3 linked regions of the Diceros bicornis minor genome follow. The protein of the gene in region 1 purifies or fractionates together with the protein of each later gene. This does not show direct contact. Links are inferred from orthologs where the notes say so. Each region holds a gene or a part of one and is shown in the gene's direction. Other genes may lie near its edges.

Region 1 (3,743 bases):
AAGGGATGTCTAGAGTTGTCTCTATCTAAGCCTCCCCCAGCTTCACTTGATTGGAGGTTGAGTTCTGTATGGAGAAAAGGAGATAGGTCAGGGAAGGCAGGTCTATTACTAGTACATTCGAATTGCCCGCTTGCTCAGTCTGAAGTCCTAGAGTTGCTTTTTCTGCCTGATTTGATTCGACTAACTTTGAGTTCTGACTAAGTTCCTGGCACCGTGTCCTTTAGTCTGACAATTTTAATGGAGAATAGGAAATGAGAGAGATCCACTAGATGCTGCAGAGAAAAATTCCTCGTTAGGGTGTGGGAGAGCAAGGAATGGCCAATGAGTGCCTACTAAATTTTAGGCCCTAGCTTAAGAGCTGGGGATACAGCAGTGAAGACAACAGATGAAAATCCTTCCCATCATAGTACTTAAACTCTAAAGGGGTGGGGGAGACAATAAATAAGTAAAATACATAGCGTTAAGTGTTGAGAAAAATAAAGGGGATAGGCAGTGTATATGTATGTGTGTGGGAAAGGTTGCAATTTTATTTAGTGAAGCCAAAAGAAGGCATTTCAGAGACGATATTTGAGTAAAACACTGAAGGAAGTGAGAGGAAAATAGAATGTTATGTGCCATAACTGTCTTAGTGGTTGTACATGCACAGCTTCTGGTTATTTGTAGGCAGTTTGTCCCAATCTGGCCTACTCACAGCTCAGGAAGAAATAATGAAAGACCTACTTTTCTAGATAATGTGGGAAGTTGAAAAAAAGGAGGCTAGGCCAGTAAGAAACCTGGCAGAAGATAGCAGAAAGTTCTCTGTTCAATGGTTCCTGGAGAAAGAGGAAAAAAAAAAAAAAAAAATCAAAGCTTCCTGTCCCTTTAAAAATGGCGGCTCCGCAGCGGCCGACAATACCATTGATTGGCAGGAGGGGCGGGGGCGGGGTGGGGCGCCGCGGAGTCCCGCCTCCTACGGCAAGTCGGAGGTAGCAAGATGGCTGCCGCTGGGGCAGACTGTGGTGTTGGGGCCGACGCGGACCGGGAATTGGAAGAGCTTCTGGAAAGTAAGAGCCCGTATTGGGAAAGACCCAAAGAGGGTGGGTGTCAGGACCAATTCAGGGGGTTCAGTAAACTTGAGATATTTGGGCGGAACAGGAGAGGCTTTGTAAAGGTTGGACTGGGGGGGGAGGGTCTGACTGCGAACCCGAAATCACTCTCCCTTTCCTGCGCGGTGGGGGCTGGGGAGCCCACCTCGGGTCCCTGAGCGGCCCAGAGCGTTGATCTCCCTGCCTGAGGGGAAGCAGTAATCCATAGGACGGTGTTTAACGATCCCGCCCCAAACTCCCCTTACTTTAGGTTATTAGTAAGTTCTTGAAGTCTAATTTCCTTCCCGCCAGCACCAACACTCGGTCCTTGGTGGTCAGCGAACCTGACACTCACGGATTGTTTATATTAACTCTTAACAAGCTCGTAGTGCGTCCTTCTATGCGCTGTCCTGTCCTCCTTAATACAAAAGACACTTCTTTCCGTCTCCCAGTCCTTTCACCTTTCTCTCACCAGGCCCCTTTCCAGTTCTTTCATCATGTCAAAACTCGAAACGACTCTTTTCCCATTATTTTGAAAAACTGAGAAGAGAGGCCTCAAGGGAAGACAGTTCGCCCTCTTGAGGGTGGATGTGCTTTTCTTCCTTAGCCCTGTCCACTTCTCTTTTGGTTTCTTGCCCAGAGTGGGGACAGTGTCCTCCCCCAAGGCCTGGCAAGTAGAATGGTGGTGAGGACACAGGCTTCTCAGGGAAGAAGTGAATGTTTTTTTCTCTTGCCCTGTCACAGAGATGTGGGCAGGCAGAAAGATGAACAGAACGGGTGAGGAGTGCCAAGTGACTCTGTGAATTGGTATACGGTTATCTGCAGAGATGAGGCCAGAGAGAGCACTGGCAGCTCTTAGGAGCTTAGCTGAGGAAAGGCTAAATTGAAGGATAAGAGAAGAGAGTTTAATGTCCTCCGGTGGAGTGTAGTGTGGAGTCCCTCAGTTTGTGGTAGTACCAGGACCCATGGGAAGCTGGGTGGGACATCTTGTGGCTTCTACCTTCTTGCCAAAGATTATTCTCTTTAGGGCTCCAGAGTGATTTCAGTGGGGTTAAGGATATCTGTGTTCTCTGCTCCTGTTGAATATTCGTATTGGATTTCTGGGGAATCATTAGAGTGTGGCAAAGAAGGCACTGTGTAGATGGAGATGTCTCTGCCGAACTTCTTTTAACTCTCTTCTCCCAGCTCTGAGACAGATGCTTGTTCCATCTCAGGGGCTTTCTTCCCCTTTGATCACAATGAATTAGGTAATGGGGAGGAAGAGGGAGGCTTGTTGAGGGATGGGCCAGGAAAGAGAGTTTCAAAAAAAAAAGGAGAAAACTTTAGGAAAGTTGGCAGTTTGCAAGATTGTGCTTTTAATGCTTTGCCCAGAAACCCCCCAGCATTGCATCTTCATCCATCCCCAACACACACCATGTCTCTTGTCTCTGAAGGTGCTCTTGATGATTTCGATAAGGCCAAACCTTCCCCAGCACCCCCTCCTACCACCACGGCCCCTGCTGCTTCGGGGCCCCAGAAGAGATCGCCAGGAGACACTGCCAAAGTATAAATTCCACCCACTTAAGGGAGGGGGAGGGGATGGGCATGCAGTTCTGAGCAGAGGTGGGGCAGGCCCCTGTGGGCCAGAGGGGTTGGGAGGAGGGTGCCTTGGCCTCATTGCTGAGTGCTCTTGCAGGCCTCAGTCCTTGTGAAACAGGGACTTAAGGTTGAGTGGAGGAATCGCAAGGAGGTTTCTTGAGAAAAGAGCAGATTTAAATGGTTGGATTGGGAATGCCTCTCCATATCCTTCCCTGAGTGGCCAGATGCCTTTCTTGCTGTCCTCATTAAGAGAAGTAGTTAGAATGTCCAATGGAGGTGGGTAGGAGGGAAGCACTGCATTTCCCAGAGCCACTGCCTGCGGCTTCTGTTAGAGGCCAGGTGCAGTGGGGTGCCAAGTAAGAGATGCATTTTGACCACTCCTCCTTGCAGGATGCCCTCTTCGCCTCCCAAGAGAAGTTTTTCCAGGAACTGTTCGACAGCGAGCTGGCTTCCCAAGCCACTGCAGAGTTCGAGAAGGCAATGAAGGAACTGGCTGAGGAAGAACCCCACCTGGTAGAGCAGTTCCAAAAGCTCTCAGAGGCTGCTGGGAGAGTAGGTGAGGAGGGGGCATCAGACAACTGGAAATATCTGAACAAATCTCTTCAGTCATTGTTGTTTGAAAACAACAAAATTCTTAGTAAAGTTGATTGTAGTCATGATATCACTGCCATGGAGTGGGGCGAGGAGATGGGAGGAGGGATGAGACCCTCTTTAATGAAAGAGATGAGATGGGTTGGAAAGTAATAGAAAAGATGATTGAAAACGGACCATTTTAAAGGTCACAGTGTTATTGTAGGTGTCATCGTGGAGAACAAACTGACACACAGTCCATCTAGAGAGGTGAAAATGACTATGAAGATAACCATAGCATATTCAAAGATTTGGAGTGCTAGTGATTCACTAGTAAATGTTCCGTATCCAAGCTGTTAACCAGGTCAGACTAGGTAAGCAAACAGTTAAAATCCTAATTGACCTTGGCTCTTTTGATCTTTCCTAGGCAGTGATGCGACTTCCCAACAAGAATTCACTTCTTGCCTAAAGGAGACATTAAGTGGACTAGCCAAGAATGCTACTGACCTTCAGGTGAGGGGGAATAGGTAG
Region 2 (3,743 bases), on another chromosome or scaffold:
ACTCAGCTGTGTGTGCAGGAGGTAGAGACCCTCCCCGCGGGGCTGGCTGAGCCACCTGCCCCCGGCCCCCCGGGACAGAAACTGCTTATCATCCGCAGCGCTCCGGCCACCGAGCTGCTGGAGAACAGCAGCATTGGGGGAGGCGCCGCCACGCTGCAGCTGCTGGCCCCACCGCCACCTGGCCCAGCCTCTATCCCCGCGGGCATCCCTGCGGCGCCCACTTCCCAGATGGTACAAGTGGTCCCCGCAGGAGCTGTGCCTGGGGGCATGACCCCACAGGGCTTGCCCTCCATCCAGATTGTCCAGACTCTGCCCGCAGTCCAGCTGGTGCACACGTTTTGAGTAGAACCACTGGTACCTCTTCCCGCCCCACACGGAGACCCCGACTTTCTGTCTGCCTGGGTTGGGTTGGGGGCAGGGGTGCTGCAGGCCGGGCTTGCTAATAAAGACCAGAACCTCCTCTTCTGTGTTTTGTTTTGGTGGGGAGGGGCGCGGAGGGAAATGTCATGGCCATAACCACCGGTTGGGAGCTTGGAGTCTTATCTCTTGCTTCCTGGCTCGCAGGTGACTTGCTTTGCGTCTTGGCGTCAGCCACTTCTATGTGGGGCTCGGTTTATTCTTAAAAAAGGGATGCAGTGGTCAGTATAGTGGGGAGACGTTGGAATCCAGAATCCGGATTCAGCCACTTGTTCGCTGTAACTCACCCCACCCCTCCTCTCATCTGAAAGATAGGTGGACGGGAATGCTTATCTGAAGGTCACTGAGAGCCCAGGTGGGTTGGCGTGGAGGTTCCTGGGGTGGGGGAGTTTGGGAGCTAGTGGGCTCGGGATGCTGGCGCGGCCTCTCCCACGAAGGCCCCGGAGCCAATGAGAATTGATCTGCTCGCATCGCCGCCCCCTCTCAGCGCTCCGGTTGCTTAGCAACCAGGGAACGTCAGGCTGCGAGCTTGAGCTCACCCTCCGCGAGCCGGGTGAGTACCGCTCCCCGCCCCACCCCGCCGGGTCCCACCGCCCCCATCCCCTCCCTGCCGGCCCCTCCCCCGCCAGCGTCTGCTCCCGTCTTCCCAGAGGCCCCCTTCTCCATGGCTCCTTCTCCCCTGCCCCACCCCCGCCGCTCCCTGCCCGGTCCCTCCCAGTCCACGCCCGGACTCCCCCGAGCCCCCGCCGGGAGCTTGGCAACAGTTGCTAAGGCCGAGTGCAGGCGCCGCCCCGCCCCCCTCCGTGCGCGGTGTGACGTCACTTCCGCCGGCGACCCCTTCCCGACCCTGCAGCCCCCACGCCTTGTCGAAGGATCGAAGCGACCTGCAGAGGTGCTTGCGTGTCCTTGCTCCTGCGACTGTGGGGGGGAAGGGGCGCCGGGCGCCGGGGTTGGGGAGCGCGGCCCATTCCCCGGCTGTGGGGGGAGTTTCGCTGACCACCCCCTTCCCCGGGGCAGCCCCGGATCCTGGGCGGGGGCCCCGGGTTGCAAGGTGTTGGCGTTCACAGGGCGCTTAGGGGTAGATCGCTGAACACCACGGGGCGGGCGGGAGGCGGGACCCCTGGAGACTTGAGAAAGGTCGCTGGGTGGAGGGAGGCCTATGCTGCCTCGGACCTTGCTTGGGGACCCCAAGCGTCTGCAGTGTCCTGATCTGGGACGTGCTGCTGCTGGTCCCCACCCCTGGGGCGCTTTGGGGACGAGAGGTGCCCTGCTGATGCTCACTGCTTGCTTTCACCAGGTGCACGCCTGCTCCCTTCTGGGGGAGCGGGAGCCTGGGGGCTGCCATGGCCCCCAGCCACCTGTCTGTGCGGGAGATGAGGGAAGATGAGAAACCGCTGGTGCTGGAGATGCTGAAGGTGAGAGCCGGCAGGGGCACCATGAGCCTGGGGGGCAGGGAGGGGGCACCTGGGGACACCATGAGCCTGTGGGGGGGGAGGGGGCATCTGGGGGCACCGTGAGCCTGGGGGGGGGAGGGGGCATCTGGGGGCACCATGAGCCTGTGGGGGGGGGGAGGGGGCACCTGGGGGCACCATGAGCCTGGGGGTGGCAGGGAGGGGGCACCTGGGGGCACCGTGAGCCTGGGGGGCCAGGGACCCCAGTGTGAGTGGCTTCGGTCACGTGCCTGAGCCAGCCTGAGCCAGCCGGGACCCCTGGGGAGCCATCATTTCCTCCTAAGCCGCGTCCTGGCACGGCTCCTCCTTTCTCTAGCGCCCTCTCTCACCCCTGGGGGTCAGGCGGGGTGTTAACAGCTGGAGGGCTGTGGAGCTGACCACGCATCAACTTCCCTTCTCCTTCGGGAGCGCCCACCCTGGATCCCTCCCTGGCAGGGCCCGTTCTCTCTCCCAGTCCCTGGTGCCCACGGGGGCCCTATCGTGACGGAGGGCCAAGCCTCCCCGCCCTGACTACCTGTCTTGCCCACAGGCTGGTGTGAAGGACACCGAGAACCGCGTGGCCCTGCATGCCCTGACGCGGCCACCAGCCCTGCTCCTCCTGGCGGCGGCCAGCAGTGGCCTGCGCTTCGTCCTGGCCTCCTTTGCCCTGGCCCTCCTCCTGCCTGTGTTCCTGGCTGTGGCGGCTGTGAAGCTGGGCCTGCGGGCCCGGTGGGGCTCGCTGCCTCCACCAGGCGGTCTGGGGGGGCCCTGGGTGGCAGTGCGCGGCTCGGGGGACGTGTGCGGGGTCCTGGCCCTGGCCCCGGGCTCCAGCGCCGGGGATGGGGCCCGGGTCACCCGCCTCTCCGTTTCCCGCTGGCACCGGCGCCGAGGCGTGGGCAGGCGCCTGCTGGCCTTTGCCGAATCCCGGGCTCGAGCCTGGGCGGGGGGCATGGGGGAGCCCCGGGCCCGGCTCGTGGTTCCGGTGGCCGTGGCAGCTTGGGGCGTGGCGGGGATGCTGGAGGGCTGTGGGTACCAGGCCGACGGGAGCTGGGGCTGCATGGGCTACACGCTGGTGAGGGAGTTCAGCAAGGACCTGTGACTCCAGACCCAGACAGGGAGGGAGGAACACCAACACTTAGGGAGTACCTACTGTGTGCAGGCGCATTCATGCCCTCCCTCCGTGAATCCCCAGCCCACCCAGGGCCCAGAAACAGGTCTGCAGAAGGCAAGAGACCCCACCGCAGCCTGATGGCTGTCTGTAGTGTTTGAACTTCTCAGAGAGGTCAATCTGTCTAATCCCCTGCCTCAGATTCTGTCTGCACTGAGAAATCTCGGTCTGTCTGTCTGCAAAGTCTGCGCTGTTTGTGCTATGGGCCTGGGAGAGGGATGTGGGGTGGAGAGGAGGCCGAGCACAGCTGTCCCCCCAAGGGTTAGGACTTGGGGTGGGGACGTGGAGGATAGGGACAAGGCCTCTTGGGAATGGGCTGGGGTTTGATTCCTGTGTTTGGAGGGGATGAGCTAGCTGAGCCTTTGCAGGGGAGGGTTGTCTGCCTAGGGAGAGCCCCCGGGGAGGAGGGGATGAGCTCAGGGCTGCCTGGCCCGCTGGCCCTTTCCGGGGAAGGTGAGAGCCGTGAGAGCCGAGAGGGCCGGCCAGGCCCATCTGGGTTTTTACACTCGTTTGTTAATAAAGCCTGGAACTGCTGTGCACCGGTCTCCCTCTCTCTGATGCCTTTTCCAGTCCACCGCAGAACCCCCCTTCTGTCTGGCTCCTTGTTCCCCGAGTTGACATTAATTGTCGGTGGGGGTGCTGGACGGGGAGAAGGGAGGCGATGAGCTCACGGCAGGCGCCCCGCTCCCTGCCAGCCCTCTGACTCACGCTCCCCATTACTGAATTTT
Region 3 (3,743 bases), on another chromosome or scaffold:
GAGGAACATTGAGTGGTGTTTAATATAACTACAGAGTATGTCTGTGGAAAGAATGCATCTTCAATCAGCATTAGCAACAACTTTAGAGGGCATCTGACTTTGCGATGCCTCATCTAGTTCATTCATCTGGATCCAACATTACTGGAGATGTTGAACAGTACTGCATCTCCTTTGAGTTTTGAGTGGAAGTAATAAATTCTAAAGTCGCACTTGCTTGCTTCCAGTTTTACCTTAGAGGTCTAAGAAAGATTCCAGGGCATTGTGATGAAGTTTGTGCAGACCTGGTAAGACCTGATACAGGCCTGCAAGGAAGAAGTAGCCAAAACCTAAGTCCTTCCATTCCCTAGCGTACCCTTCACAGAACTTCAGCTTCCAGAGCACCTCCTGTCCTGTCTCACCTCACCAACCCTGTGAAGTGGGCAGGGTGGGATTCCACAGATGGGGAGTCACAGGTAGTCTGTGGAAAAGCATGCACCAGACCCACACCCCTCTGCCTCCCCAAGGCCTTTGGAGGGTGGACAGAGGAGGCCGAGGGCAGGAGAAAAGAAGCGGAAGCGGAAAAGGGCGATCTAAAGAGAGGTGGCAGGTTGGAAGCGGCTAGAAAGGTGCAGAGGAAGGCACACATTGGGGGGAGGGGGCGGAGGTGAGGCGGTGGAAAGGGTGAGGGACTGTCTCCAAGGAGAACGCACAGAAGCAGCATGTCGGGGGCTCTTAGGGAGCCTCATTCCACCAGTGGCAAAACGGAGTCCAGAGGGGAGGTGGTTTGCCCAAGGATGTCCAGCACTTTGCAAGGTGGGCGCTACCACCTGACCCCAGGTCTCCCGATCCCAGTCCAGGGAAGACCGGGCAGTGGGCGGAGGCCGCGAGAGGGCCTGAGGCAGGCAGGAGCAGAGGCCGGGCTCCCGCACCGTCGCAGCGCGGATAGAAGGAAAGCTCTGCCCAAGGCTGGTAGCGCCATTAACCGCCCAAGACCCAGGCAGCCGAGTCCAAACAATCCCAGCAAGCGACTTTGAAGCCGCGATTTTCATGCGGCAAAAGCCTTTCACAGCTTCCGGCTCGAAGGCGGCGTCGGAAATGCCCGATCAGTATTCGGAGACTTTCGGAACCTCCCGAGAGATAGTCAGGAGCTTTTGGAAACGTCAGGGCAGGAATCAAACATCAAACAGTCAATATTTTGGAACGGCCACAATCTCCTAAAAAATATTCAGGAATATTAGAGATTACGGGAAAACGGTTAGAGAGCAGCCGAAATCTGCCGAGTGGCATTCGGGAATTTCCGGAGCTGCTCGTGCCGCATTCGGAACCTCTCAGCTCTTTGCGGTCTATTCAGGGGTCTTGGGTCTCTACAGCAGACCCGTTCCTCGCCTAAATCGTGAGGGCGACTGGTGCCGACAGTCCCTCGGCAATTTCCGGAAGTGTTCGGGATCGGCCCGAGGGTGGCGCCCTCTGGCGGCGGGAACTGTCATCACCACCAACCCCCGGACTGGGCCAGCACGCGCAGACGCAGTTGCGCGCCAGCGGCCGTTCAGACCGGACGTGGTTGCTGCTGAGGTCAGTTCCGGCGGGTGACGGTGCGGACGGGTCAGAAGCGTAGAGGCGGCGGCAAAATGGCGGCGCCTGAGGATCGGGATCTAACCCAGGAGCAGACCGAGAAGCTGCTGCAGTTTCAGGTAGCAGCGAGTACTCGGTGCAGCAAATGCCGTCGCGGGCTGGGGAGCGGGCCCTTAGAGGAGCCTAGAACTCTCCTCAGATTGGGCCCGAGATTTTTCTCAGACCAGCAGGCGGCCCCCTCCCCCCCAGACGCCAACTGCCCTGCTGCCCCCGGCCCCGAGCCTCTGTCGGTCCCCGGCCTTCCAGCATGGCTGCAGTCAGACCCGCCTCCTCCCTGTCCCGTGTCCCCTCGGGTCAACCACCCTGGTTTCCGTTAGCGGCGCCAGTCCTCAGCCATCTTCCCAGCCCGAGGACGTTACCGCTGGGACCCTCTCCGCCCAACGACTCTGGATCTACCAAGATGTTTAATCCCCACTGCGGAGTTGGTCTCGTTTCGGGTCTGGAAAGCCTCCTAGCAGCATCCTCTACCATTTCTACAAACATTGACTGAAGGCCGCTGGGTGCCAGGTCCTGTGTTGGGCGCTCTGGTGGGGGAGAGGGCAGGGTGGCCCCCGCCCGAAAGGCGCGGGAGGACAGACACCACGTTAGGAAACAGTGCGGCGCTATAAGTGTCATCCGTGGCTTCCGACCGGGTTTATTACCCTGGGCTTGTTCCTGGAATCACGTGCTTGACTGTGCTTGAGGAGGTTGGGAACTTGGCAGGAATCTGCCTCCTTTTAGTGGATGTTGGGTTAAGAACTTTTGGCACTGAGCACTTATTTCTGAGCTGGAGAATCTGAATGGAGGAGACCACTAGGGTAGGTAACCTTGGCTCTTTGTTGCCCTGATGAATACCACATTCCTTATTTCTAAACTACGTATCTTAAAAACGTTAACCTCGTAAGGATGAGTTTGATGAGTTTATGGGTGTCTGAAGGGCTTTGTAAACTGTAAAATGCTCCCAAACAGTATTGCTGTTGTTAATCATTATTTAACTTAGGATAGAATGAAAGTTAGTGGTACAGTTATTTCCTAGTATAAAATGTGCTGTATATTCATTAATTCAGTAGTATTTACCAAAAACCTTAGTTCTCAGGCACTGCTAGTTAGAATACCATTTATTGAGTGTGAGGTTGTAAATACTTTACTGAACACTTAGCATACATTATTGCATTTACTACAACAACCCTATGAGATTCATACTGTTTACAGTCCCTATTTTACAAATGAGGGATACGAGGCTTAAGAAGTAACATGCTTAGTTTACATGGCTAGTGAGTGGTAGTCAGATTTAAAGCCAGGTCCATCTTTCCAGAACCTTTCCTGAGCTCTTGATGTGTGTGCTATACAGCCTGTGTAAGTATCAGTGTACAACTGAGAGTGAAATGCAAATGCTGTGATATTTTTTTTTCTTTGCAAGTTCTCACTTTTCTATAATTTCCTTGATTAGATTTCACTGTAGTTAATTTTGAAGTTTTTTTTTGTTTTTTTTTTTTGAGGCAGGAGTTCTGCTTTTTTTTTTTTGTGAGGAAGATCAGCCCTGAGCTAACATCCATGCCAATCCTCCTCTTTTTGCTGAGGAAAACCAGCCCTGAGCTAAAATCTATTGCCAATCCTCCTCCTTTTTCTCCCCAAAGCCCCAGTAGATAGTTGTATGTCATAGTTGCACATCCTTCTAGTTGCTGTATGTGGGAGCATGGCTGGAGAAGCGGTGCGTCCGCCCGGGATCTGAACCCGGGCGGCCAGTAGCGGAACGTGCACACTTAACGGCTAAGCCACGGGGCGGCCCCATAATTTTGAAGTTTTTTCCCTCGTAAATTGAGCAGTGGGTTGGAAGAGTGTAAATGGGAAAAAACTATCATAGTGGTTGATGTTTGATTGGAGTTTTGAGGAGAGAAATTGATGACACAACAAATCGGAATCAGAATGAATAAAGAGCACACAACTAGCTTTCACTTCCTGGTAGATCACTAAGTTCAGGGTTTTGTTTAATTTGGGCAGACCATTTTACCCCTTACAACTCTTCAAGAGTAAGCCCCCATGTTGTTTAAGTGTAATGAGGTGCTGTGAGTTATAAGTCATGATTTAGTTAGTCTAGTACTGGAAGGACATGAGTATATGATAGCATTTCTGAGGTGAAGTGCATAGCAACC

Evidence for each region.
Region 2: the proteins of PEX19 (region 1) and NAT14 purify together in Homo sapiens (co-immunoprecipitation; 3 studies listed by BioGRID and IntAct, counting the BioPlex papers as one, with this or other methods). This does not show direct contact. The link is inferred for Diceros bicornis minor from reciprocal best matches to the Homo sapiens genes PEX19 and NAT14.
Region 3: the proteins of PEX19 (region 1) and FAF2 purify together in Homo sapiens (affinity purification with mass spectrometry; 4 studies listed by BioGRID and IntAct, counting the BioPlex papers as one, with this or other methods). This does not show direct contact. The link is inferred for Diceros bicornis minor from reciprocal best matches to the Homo sapiens genes PEX19 and FAF2.

Annotation. Positions count from the first base shown.
Region 1 is NC_080743.1:64,951,168-64,954,910, reverse strand, and holds the start of PEX19 (peroxisomal biogenesis factor 19), read left to right. Parts: upstream 1-954; 5' UTR 955-973; coding exon 974-1,076; intron 1,077-2,497; coding exon 2,498-2,607; intron 2,608-3,032; coding exon 3,033-3,198; intron 3,199-3,639; coding exon 3,640-3,725; intron 3,726-3,743. UniProt on the Homo sapiens protein: Necessary for early peroxisomal biogenesis. Acts both as a cytosolic chaperone and as an import receptor for peroxisomal membrane proteins (PMPs).
Region 2 is NC_080773.1:33,458,513-33,462,255, forward strand, and holds NAT14 (probable N-acetyltransferase 14), read left to right. Parts: upstream 1-1,158; 5' UTR 1,159-1,309; intron 1,310-1,714; 5' UTR 1,715-1,760; coding exon 1,761-1,832; intron 1,833-2,397; coding exon 2,398-2,946; 3' UTR 2,947-3,552; downstream 3,553-3,743. UniProt on the Homo sapiens protein: Probable acetyltransferase. May act as a transcription factor that regulates the expression of coproporphyrinogen oxidase by binding to a promoter regulatory element.
Region 3 is NC_080740.1:89,695,368-89,699,110, forward strand, and holds the start of FAF2 (FAS-associated factor 2), read left to right. Parts: upstream 1-1,554; 5' UTR 1,555-1,607; coding exon 1,608-1,670; intron 1,671-1,734; exon of another isoform or gene 1,735-2,390; coding exon of another isoform or gene 2,391-2,408; intron 2,409-3,743. UniProt on the Homo sapiens protein: Plays an important role in endoplasmic reticulum-associated degradation (ERAD) that mediates ubiquitin-dependent degradation of misfolded endoplasmic reticulum proteins.